Linked DNA regions of Rattus norvegicus. The protein of the gene in region 3 interacts with the protein of the main gene of each other region in a biochemical or structural test. Links are inferred from orthologs where the notes say so. Each region holds a gene or a part of one and is shown on either strand. Other genes may lie near its edges. The genes, in order: Enc1, Gsk3b and Nfe2l2.

Evidence for each region.
Region 1: the proteins of Nfe2l2 (region 3) and Enc1 form a complex in vitro, tested with the Homo sapiens proteins (2 studies listed by BioGRID). The link is inferred for Rattus norvegicus from reciprocal best matches to the Homo sapiens genes NFE2L2 and ENC1.
Region 2: of the proteins of Nfe2l2 (region 3) and Gsk3b, one has a biochemical effect on the other in vitro, tested with the Homo sapiens proteins (2 studies listed by BioGRID). The link is inferred for Rattus norvegicus from reciprocal best matches to the Homo sapiens genes NFE2L2 and GSK3B.

The regions. Positions count from the first base shown.
Region 1 is NC_086020.1:30,284,062-30,287,809, reverse strand, and holds the start of Enc1 (ectoderm-neural cortex protein 1), read right to left. Parts: upstream 2,537-3,748; 5' UTR 2,252-2,536; intron 1,007-2,251; exon of another isoform or gene 741-1,006; intron 1-740. UniProt on the Homo sapiens protein: Actin-binding protein involved in the regulation of neuronal process formation and in differentiation of neural crest cells.
Region 2 is NC_086029.1:76,150,493-76,154,240, forward strand, and holds the start of Gsk3b (glycogen synthase kinase-3 beta), read right to left. Parts: upstream 2,758-3,748; 5' UTR 2,619-2,757; coding exon 2,531-2,618; intron 1-2,530. UniProt on the Homo sapiens protein: Constitutively active protein kinase that acts as a negative regulator in the hormonal control of glucose homeostasis, Wnt signaling and regulation of transcription factors and microtubules, by phosphorylating and inactivating glycogen synthase (GYS1 or GYS2), EIF2B, CTNNB1/beta-catenin, APC, AXIN1, DPYSL2/CRMP2, JUN, NFATC1/NFATC, MAPT/TAU and MACF1.
Region 3 is NC_086021.1:81,001,355-81,005,102, forward strand, and holds the end of Nfe2l2 (nuclear factor erythroid 2-related factor 2), read right to left. Parts: coding exon 3,660-3,748; intron 3,031-3,659; coding exon 2,941-3,030; intron 2,379-2,940; coding exon 2,190-2,378; intron 1,849-2,189; coding exon 625-1,848; 3' UTR 175-624; downstream 1-174.

The DNA.
Region 1 (3,748 bases), on a different chromosome or scaffold from region 3:
TTAGCATCAGTGGAATCTAATGCTATCTTTTTTGAGTATCTGCTGTAAGAAAACTGGGGGCCAATAAGGTGGACTATGTCCACTGTCCATCTTGAAAAATGGAATTAACTCCCCCTTCTGACAGCACTCTTCTAGGGCTCTAACAGAAGATAAAGCCTTAAGAACCTGCCCCTCAGGATTCCAGAGGTTGCTTATGCCAGGGGGACAGACCTTGTAGTTAGCTACTGTTACCTTTTCTGACCCAAACAGCCAGAACTTACAGCACAGCTGAAACCCTGCTCTTCCTTCAGTCATTCAGACCTTTTTATTTATACTCCAGGAATTATTAATAAATATAGATGACTTACCAGATTCATGAGCTATATAACTGCATCCCTCCACCCCCAGCAGCTGTGAAAGTCGGCACTGAGAAAAGTAACAAAGGTAGGTGTTTGCCCGGACATTCGCCCATGTCTTTAGGTGAGGTAACTTGTTTTCCTCTGCTTTTGGAATGTTACCTTTCACGATGAGTAAACAAGGCCAAAGAGAACTAAGAAAGCATCAAAGTTACAAAGCTCCAGTGTTACAAAACCTTTGCAAGCACCCAGAAATTTCCAGTAGGTAGGAAGATGAGGAGGACCCAAGCATCACCCCTATCTCAAGCACCAATCCTACCTCAAGCGAAGCCCAGCTTAACCCCATGTAGAAAGTTCTGAAGAATGACCCATTAGAGGCATCCTCTGTGAATACATTAAGCTTACCAAGTGTTCAGAGCCCATGAACTTGCAGCCTGCTTGCTTTACCACTGTGATGCCATTTAAATGAGTGCAGTTCAGTCTGAGTTATTCTGAGGAAGATTTTAAGCCTAAACCTCTAAATGATTGTCTACTCTATGGAAGCTGCCTCCTCTCGGGCTGCGAGCCAAGAAAGGAACGCCAGGAACACAAGCATCTAAGTGCTAGCAGGCTGAGCTGGAATCCCACAGGGCTAGAGAGTCAGGGTGGTATAAAACAACTACAACCAGGTGTATACTTAAGAAAACAGTTTGTCTAGAAGACCTACAAGACGTGCAACACGCTGCTGCGTCTGTGTTTTCTAAGCCCCCCCCCCCCGAAAACCAGAAGGCACTGTCTACCCTATCACCTTGGACCCCATCCCACAGGAAAGGGATGTCACGGTCACAATTTCTCATCTTGCAACCACTGTATGATTAAAACAAAAGGTGCACTTGAAGACCCAAGGGAGACAATGTGCTCCCTGGTTTAGAAGCACGCAAACATCAAAATAGCCACAGAAATAATGTATACCTTTTCTAAACACACCTTAAACATAAAATGAATCGTTCTTCCCAACATTTTTTAAAGCCCCCAGAGACATAAGTCTGAATGCTAAGGAAATGGTCCCCCAAACGCACATATATACTTAACTTGCATCTACAAAGAAGGCAGAGAAAAAGACTATTACTGTGAACATCAAAAGGGCATCTAGTTCAGTAACTTCGGCTCATTTACTCCTGTTCACACGCATGATGTCTGCCTCCAACACTGGGAGCACCTCCGTCTCTCTCCTGGTTTGAAGCTTGATCTCAATCCCACGAGAAAAGACACCAGGCAGATGTTCTCCAGCATTCACATTATTGACAACAATGGAACCACACTATAAAGATGTTTACAAAAATAGCTCTTCGCCACAGTCCCCTACAACACTTGCAACGCTATTTAACACGCTGGACATGCCAGTGAGGGCGACACCAAATTACAAGTCCAAGTTCACCGTTTCATCTCCACCCCGCCCACCAATTCCTAGCCTTTGAAATTAATGTCATTCTAAAAGGCAAAAGCTTGCAGGAGAGGAAACTCGTTTTTCAGGAACCAGTTTTCATTCATTTGGCTGAAGTCAAGTGCCCGCATGAGGAGGTCTGGGCATGGCCCCCACCGTCCCCCGGAACCGGCTACGAGGCACCCTGGGGAACCGATCCCACGCTCTGGGCTGCCTGAAGGCTGCTGGGAGCCGGGGTAATAACATCCCCCAACCTGGCTCCTCGCACACACCGAGACTTGCCCGGGCGTTACACTGCAGAGGAGAGGCAAGTCGCTCTCCCAGTGCTGTCTCACACCAGCCACAGTTCTGCCTCGAGAGCACCTCCTGGGCTTAAGCCACAGCCAGGGTGGCCGGCGCCGGCTCGGTGCTCGCAAGCACACCCTGCGGCAGACCTCCCAACCCCCGAAACCCGGGCGCCCGCAACAGGTTTGGGGTTGCAGGGCAAACTTACAGTAGTGGCGACTGGCCTCCGCACACAACCGGCTGGGGTTCTTGCCTCGGTCACCCGCAGGGAGCCGAAGAAAGGCGTCTCTGTTCCAGGAAGCGGTGGCGATCGCCGGGGAGAAAAGAGCGCCGGGAAGGGAGGCGATGGCGTCCCGGGTAGTGGCTCTCAGGCCGGCTCCGGCAGGCAGCTGATCTCGGTCTCCCGATCAGCAGCTACGGACCTGGCGCCCCGGCCGGGCCAAGCGTCTGCGGGCGCTCGCCTAGCCAGGGGAGAGTGAGCCTGCGGCGGCCGCGCCGCTAAGGAAGGCGGGCTGCACGCAGTGGGAGGGAGCCGGGCTGCGGCGGGAGCGCTGGCGGCCGCCTGGCGTCGGCTCTGGGTCTCTGCAGCGCCTCCGTCGCGCCGACCGCTCTGAGGCTGCGGGAGCAGACTGCGCCGGGCCACCGTGCGCCGGGCTATAAGTTGCGCCCGGGAGGGGGCGCGTATGCAAAGAGACTCGCTAGTGGGAGGAGGGAGGAAGCGCGTCCACGCTGCGGGCTGGAGCGGGAGGAGCTGGGGGCTGGAGGTGGGGGCTGTCGGGGGGAGTTTGCCGGAGAGGAACCAGGGAAGTGGGGCGGGGAGTGAACGGAGACAAAGCGGACGCCCTAGCTCAGCTACGGGCAGCTGCAGCCCCTGGGGACCGCGAAGAAAATAAGTTTGAGGGGCTCCGAGGACCTTCGCCTCTCCGGGTCAACCCTATTCAAGGCTGGGTCGGGGGCTGGGGCGTCCACTGCAGGGGAAAGCAGCCCTGGGAGCTTTCCTGTGCTCAAGGGTGCGGGGAACCTAAGAATGCTCAGTGGAATAGTCAAGGCCAGGCCGGGGGTCCCACGCACCGGCAAGCACAGCCACTCATTGGGTTAGATCCCCCAACCGCAGGCAGAGCCTCGTTCCCGCTGGAGCAAGGGAAGAAGCCCTGGTTTGGACCTTGGGGACACTGCGGGTCGAGCAAGTGGACTTTGGGTTACTTGCTGGCAAGAAGCCAGACTTCTACTCCAGGCTCTTGCCGGGTGTCTGCCTTCCCCACCCCAAATTGGTGAGGAACCCGCGACAGGACTCTGCCTCGCTCGGAGCTGGAGCCACAGCAACCCCGGCTGGGTCCTGCGGGCCCACGTGTTTCGCAACCAATCGCCAGGGCCGCTAGATTCAAAGCAAACTCCTCCAAGGAGCAGTCACGCTGCCTCCTCCTGGTAGGGAAGGCGTCTCAGTCACCTCGAGACTCGGCCTTTCTTGGGTTTTGTTGGTTGGTGGATTTTGGAGCTCAGTCAAGAAATAGTACCCCACCACACACACACACACACACACACACACACACACACACACACACACACACCGTAAAGCCTCGAGAGTATTCGAAAAAAAAATCAATTCATGTAGCCACAACTGTTTATGACTCTCATTTCTGACTCTTTGTGCCAGGGCATTTGGCTGGGAGCTAAAACGCCACTTTTGAGTTGGCTCTTACTCCGC
Region 2 (3,748 bases), on a different chromosome or scaffold from region 3:
GATCTCTAACATAGTCTACTATCTCCCAAAAGGCTTCTAATGTCTCTCCCTTCAGCTATCCAAATCCCTTCAGAACGTCTTGTTCAGCAATGCACAGTTAGTGCAGACAGATAGCTCCTAGATCCCCACCCGAACCTACAGGCCTTTTCTGCCCTTTATTAACTTACTTTCCTCTAAGCCTCAGCTCCCACGTCCCGGTTCTCCCGTGTAGGCTGGGGTAATTGAGATATACCACCTTACCTCCCATACAGAACAGACTGGCTGGGCCTGCCTTCTACCCAGTGCACTGCTTGTGTCTCCACAGGCTCATGGACTTAGCCAGCACCTGTTTTAAGAAGCACCTCTGCGGAAACCTCCCTGCTCCTTCCTCATCACCCTTTTCCTGTGTCCCTCTGAACAAATGGTTCACTTGGCGTTTTATAATACTGCGGTTATCAGGCTTATCGCCTTCGCCCTTTTCTGAATGTGTATGCCTTTACATCAGAGGCTCTGGGAACAAGGACTTAATGTCATACATGCCTTTTTGAACACCAGCACCCTAACAAATTCCTCTTTCATCTATGTGTCCTTAATATCAAGGTTATTTTTAAAAAAAAAATAGTAATAATTAGCATCTTTTTAATGTTGACTGATATGGTAAATATAAAATTAAAACACTTTAAACTATATTCCTCTGGGATTTCCTCCACCCTAAAGAAACTCTATCAAGGCTAAGTTGTTTTCAAAGAAAATCCTGGAAACAAGAAGAGAAATTCCCAACTTTGGTATTTTAGTCTGGCATTACAGATCTCTGAAATAAACCTCATAAATGGTCTAAAATTGACTGGGTTTTTTTTTTTTTTAAACTAGTCAAAGCACAAATACTGAAGTACCATGAAAGGCTCTTCAGTAGTTACCATGAAGTCTACTTCATCATCACTGAAAATGACCCTAGCATTTTTTAAAATTCCTTTCAAATGACTCCATAAAGTGCTTAGAAAGCATGACCCTTCCCTGAAAGATGTGAAATCAGCTTCCCTCTTAACATGCCCTGCGTTCTAAATTGGCTAGTCACTCACTGAAGGAAAGAAAAAAGTTAACTTGCAAAAATCTCTCCCACTCAGCTATCGCTCTGGATACAACTTTGGACTTCTCTGTTCCAGACAAGGTCCAAAAGCCTACAGAACTGCAATCCTGCATGCAGCTGGAGGATTCCTCACTCCCAGTTGCTTAATCAATTGCACATAACAATCCTGCGTGCAACTGGAGGATTCCTCACTCCCAGTTGCTTAATCAATTGCACATAACAGCACATGCATTTTAACTTTTTAAAAATCTTAGTTCTTCAGTTACAGCAGCTCCTCTCAGCCACAAAACAGTTTTATCTATCTCCTCCCTCTTCTTTCTCAAGGAATAAGGAAAATACCATAGATATTTTGGCCAGAATCTGCAACTATGTTCTAATAAGCTGTCATGAAATACCACATAAACATCTCCACAAATAGATACATTTGAACACTGGATACTCGGTATACCAAACACTTCAAGAACACAGACTTTTTTTTTTTTTCAGCACAGATTCCCCAGCAAAAGACTGACAGATACTCATAGATACATTTTAAATCAGCCTAAAAAGGTATCCACTTGTACTCTTTAAAAAAAAAATTAACAAGTAATAAATGCAACACCACTTCAAAATTAAACTTAAATGACAGTCAGTGACAACACTTAACTTAGTATTTGGCAATATGGCAATACAACCTCAATCAAAAGTTGAATCTCCAAGTTACCTTTTGATTACACAAATTATATGGTGGCAGATTGGTAATGTCAAAACAGGAAGGTTAAGAGATAACACATTAAACCACTTAAAAATTAAAAACAATGCACTCAGAGATGCATCTGCTGCGGGATATTTCTCAGCTCCCACCAGCCCGGAGAAGAGTGAGGGATGGATACTAGCTCGCCTCCAACGGGAATGTGGGTTACCAAGCAAGTTCCTCCCCAGATTCAAAAATACTTTGTGTAGTCACACAGGCAAAAAGGAAATATTAGGAGGCTGGGGCATTTAGTATCTCTATTTAGAATGCAGACCCGTGATAACCTGAGCTAACTAAAATAAACCCCCTCATTCCAGAAGACACGGACTCGGCAAATGTACATCATGGTTTATTAATCAAGCGTTGTCCTCTTTATTCAAAGGGATGGGCAAGCGAAAGCTTCCACCGCTTAACCCGGAGGCACTGGGGCACTTGAAAAGACTGACTACCAACAGCACGGAGAACGTAAGAAAATAAGTTTCGAATCCAATCAGCCAAATAAAACTAATATTCTCTCAATTCAAGGTTAATGAGGCTGGGGGAGGGGGGTATGGGTATGGGAGGAGAAAAAGGAGCTGCCTCATCTTGAGTCAAGACAGGTTTTGCCCTTTTCCACTACCACTGGCTGACTGACTGTTCTATCAGGTCTGTTAGTTTAGATCCTGGTATTTCGAGGTTTCTTATCTTAATGGTGAGGTGGAGAAAGGGTGTAAAATAAAATCGATACTCACTGCTAACTTTCATGCTACCAAAAGCTGAAGGCTGCTGCACTGGCTTGCAGCTCTCCGCAAAGGAGGTGGTTCTCGGTCGCCCCGACATGATGGCTCTTCTCGATTCACCTTTTCCTTCCTTAATCCTTTTCTTCCTTTTGTTTTATGTTAGGGTACTAGGTTAATAATAAATGCAGCATTAAGTTCTCCCGCAAGAAAAAAAAAAAAAAGACTTCGTTCTCTTGGCCTTTCACTCCTTTTGTATAGCTATTTAAGAAGAAAAAAAAAAGGAGCTATGTATTTCTTCAAGACAGATCGGTACGGATATTTAACACATAGATGATTTAGAGCTGGGGGGAAAATATAATTCTTTCACCTCCCTTTCCTGGGAGAGGAGAAAAAGGGTGGAGTGGAATCCTTAAAAAATATATATATATCACGTGAACGAGGGCAAATACTTGATTGAAAATAAGTACTCTGAGTATTATATTTTCCTCGGGGATTTTTTTCCGAGTCAATGAAGAAGGGAAGCGGCGGAAGGATCACGAGCCTCACGCTTGAAGAGAAGGGGGATGGGAAGGAGGGAGGAGATGGCTCGGAGATGCGACGGCAAACGCTGCGGCTCCGGCAGCAGAGGGATCCGGCGGTCTGACGGCGGCGGCGGCCGGGTGAATCGGAGGGCAGCGCAGTCGCGAGTCAGTGGCGGGCGGTGGCGGCGGCGGCTCCTCTCCTCATTGCGCCAGGAGCAGCTGCAGGCGGTGGCTGGATCCAGCGGCCATGGCGGCAGCGGCGGCGGAGGCAGCTCCCTTCAGACCCCAGGCAGCGGCTCCCTGACTGCTCCCCATACGCCGGGGACATGGGAACCAGGCAACCGCTTCCGTCCCTCGGGGTCCCCTCCCCCGTCCGCGGCCCCGGCACGGCCGGCCTCCGCCCCTCGCCTCTGCTGAGCGGCTGCTCGGGAAGTGTCCGCGCTGTGCCCCGAGCCCGAAGCCCTGTCAGCGGCTGCAGGGACGGCTCCTCCTCGCTGCCTTCCTTCCTTTGTCACTCGGCCCAGGCGGCGGCGACGGCGGCGACACAAGCCCGCATTCGGCCGGGTCGGGGGCTGCTCTGTGCGAGGCGCGCCGTCTGCGCAGTCGCCTAGCCCTTCCCCACTCCCCCCTCCCCCTTCCTACTCGTCCTCCGCCTCCTTCCTCCCCCACCCAGCCTTACACCGCCCAGCGCCCCGCCGCCCGCGTAACA
Region 3 (3,748 bases):
GGGACTGAACCCAGGGCCTTGTGTTTGCTAGGCAAGCGCTCTACCACTGAGTTAAATCCCCAACCCGCTTGTGTATTTTCAAAACCATTCTGAAAATGTAAAATAAGCAAATGTGGTAGGTGGATAACTGTCCTATGGAAAACACTACTGGGAATTAACTCAAACAATCCAGAGTAATTTAAGTCATGATATTCCTTTATTAGTGCTAGCTCCTTTTAATTTTTATCAGAGCTAAACAATTTAATATAAAAATGTCATTTCTTGTTCATACAGTATATAAAAAAGTATAGTGGTTTGGTTAGTTTTCAATAGTTTGCTTTTAGCCAGATGTCATATAAGTCTATGACTGTAACAAATGAGAACAGTATAAATAAGTTCTGTAGTATTTACACTTACACAGAAACTAGCCCAAATGGTGCCCAAGAAATTAACTTGAGAGTTAAAATGAAACTGATTCAACATTGAGACTTTAATGCTTTGTAAAGTTTCATATTATTTCTACACTAGCTTTGGCTATAATTCTGCATAGTTACTTATAAAGTGTTTCTGCATTTCACATCACAGTAGGAAGTTTTAGCCGTACAAAACAAACACTAGCTCAGAAAAGGCTCCATCCTCCCGAACCTAGTTTTTCTTTGTATCTGGCTTCTTGCTCTTGGGAACAAGGAACACGTTGCCATCTCTGGTCTGCTGCAGAGAGTACTCACTGGGAGAGTAAGGTTTCCCATCCTCATCACGTAACATGCTGAAGACTTCCAGATACAAAGTGCTGAGTTTTCTTTTCAGAAGATGGAGGTTTCTGTCGTTTTCTCCCTTTTCTCTGAGTAGTTTTTCTCTCTCGTCTTTTAAGTGGCCCAAGTCTTGCTCCAGCTCTACAATGTTTTCCAGCTTCCTTTTCCTACAGTTCTGAGCGGCAACTTTATTCTTCCCTCTCCTGCGTATATCTCGAATTAATGCAAGCTGAGCTTCGTTGAATTGCTCCTTGGACATCATTTCATTGAAGTCATCAACAGGGAGATTAATGATTTTTTCAACAGGGAATGGAATATGGAGAGCTTTTGCCCTAAGCTCATCTCTTGTGAGATGAGCCTCTAATCGGCTTGAATGTTTGTCTTTTGTGAATGGGACTTTTTGATGACCAGGACTCACAGGTACTTCTTTTTTTGTTGTATTTTCACACTGGGATTCGTGCACAGCAGCACTGTGCCCTTGAGCTGGCGACAGAGGCTGTACTGTATCCCCAGAAGAATGTGTTGGCTGTGCTTTAGGTCCATTCTGTTTGACACTTCCAGGGGCACTGTCTAGCTCTTCCATTTCCGAGTCACTGAACCCAGGCGGTGGGTCTCCGTAAATGGAAGACTCCACAGAGTGCTCTGGGGATGCTCGGCTGGGACTTGTGTTCAGCGAAATGCCGGAGTCAGAGTCATTGAACTCCACCGTGCCTTCAGTGTGCTTCTGGTTGAAAGCTTTACACAGGGACAGATCACAGCCCTCAATGGGCCCGCCCAGAAGTTCAGAGAGCGACTGACTAATGGCAGCAGAGGAAGGCATGCTGCCACCGCCACTGGGCTCTGCTAGGAAAGCAGAGTAAAATTCATCACCGAAATCTGTGTTCAAGGTGGGATTTGAGTCTAAGGAGTTCAGCTGGCTGGCATCATCCGTGGAGAGGATGCTACTAAAAGAATCCTCAAAACCATGAAGGAAATGTGGACTACAGCTGTCCACTTCTTTTTCCAGTGAGGGGATCGATGAGTAAAAATGGTAATTGCTGTCCATCTCTGTCAGTGTGGCCTCTGGGCTGGGGACAGTGGTAGTCTCAGCCTGCTGCTTGTTTTCCGTATTAAGACACTAGAAAAGAAGGTCACATTGAATGCTTTAGATCAGTTCCCCACTCCCAAATCCAAGGTCTTCTTTTCAATAATCCCGATAACTCCCATTTTCAACAGATAAGTATTTTATGGTTGTCAGAACTCTAAATTAGCTTTCAGTCTTAGAGTGAATTTGTCCTGAAATATTCAGTCTGATTAATTAAAAACTCTGTGTGTTAAGTGAGTTTGGGAAGCTCTCCTAAGTAATATAAATGCACCATCAGTTTCTTCCTTTGAGTAGGTAGCATGTCAATAATAAATAACCAGGATGACTAATTTAAAAGGCCCATAGAGGACAGCACACTCATCGAGCTCTCTCACCTGTAACTCGGGAATGGAAAATAGCTCCTGCCAAACTTGCTCCATGTCCTGCTGTATGCTGCTTAAATCAGTCATGGCCGTCTCCAGAGAGCTATCGAGTGACTGAGCCTGATCAGGGGTGGTGAAGACTGAGCTCTCAACGTGGCTGGGAATATCCAGGGCAAGCGACTGAAATGTAGGTGAAGAAACCTAAGATTGACAAGGTATTTACATGAGTGAGAGCAAAGACCTGTAGAACAGACAGCGGCAGGGGCTGCAGCTCTCAGGTTACTAATGGTTGCTTTTATAAAATGAAACATTTCTTCCCCCCCAATGTCTCCACATTTATCCACTATTATATCACTCCATGTGCTTAAAGGTAGACTTCAAAATGGATAAAAACATTCCTTACGACTTAATTTGTACCCATAATATTTAGCAAAGTGCTTCAAACAACAGATTAAGATTTTTAATCCAAGTACGGATTAATAGTTGCTCTTTACTAGACAAAATATTTTATATACCTATATCCATTTTTCCAGTTAAATTATTCTGATTCATGTTTCTAGCTATCCAGTAAAATGGACTTGTCGTTTAGTATTTAGCAGGTCTTATTTTTAAATGTTTTATAGATATCTGATACAGTTTATTTGATAATTTCTTTGATCAACTTTTTCCTTCTAAAATTTTCTTTTATTCTCTCAATTGGATACACATGAAAGGGACTAATTCCAGAAAAGACAGTTTTGCTATTAAGCAAACATTTTTATACCTCATGGTCATCTACAAATGGGAATGTCTCTGCCAAAAGCTGCATACAGTCTTCAAAGTACAAGGCATCTTGTTTGGGAATGTGGGCAACCTGGAGTAAGGGAAAGGCACAAAGGAACATCATTTGTTAAATGTTCTAAACCCAGGGGTCATGACTAGCATTAAGAGCTGTTCATAAAATAACCTATGAACTCATTTCAGAAATCAATTTGTTTTACAGATTCAAACCAGATCACTTGTGTTCAAATCATTAGTCCCTTTAATAAACTGTGCTAGGGGACCGAACCCAGGGCTCTGTGCTAGGCAATAAACTCCCTTCATTTTTGAGTGATCTAGGCAAATGATTTAACCCTTGTGAGCTTTAGTTGTTTATCAACATATAGCATGGGAATTGTACTTGACACAGCTACATCAGTTACTCATACAATTCAGGTCACGCCTGCCACAGCAGTGAACAATGCCCACTCCTCCTACCAACAGAACGTCTGCCATGGTCTCCTCCCTCCCAAGAGGATGATTCTGTAACTCACAAAGTATGCCCCATGATCTGTATTGTATCCTGATCATCGAAAGAATTCTCAAAGGAGCTCAGGTACTCAATTCATCGGGAAGCTAAGCTTGGGAACTTAATATCCTCACAAATGGCAGACCAAGAGCTCAAATCCGATGGTCTGCTTTCTCAGTCGAGTTTTCCTCAGACCCCACCAGAACCAAGTGTACCTGGGAGTAGCTGACAGATCCACTGGTGTCTGTCTGGATGTGCTGGGCTGGCTGAATTGGGAGGAATTCTCCGGTCTCTTCATCCAGTT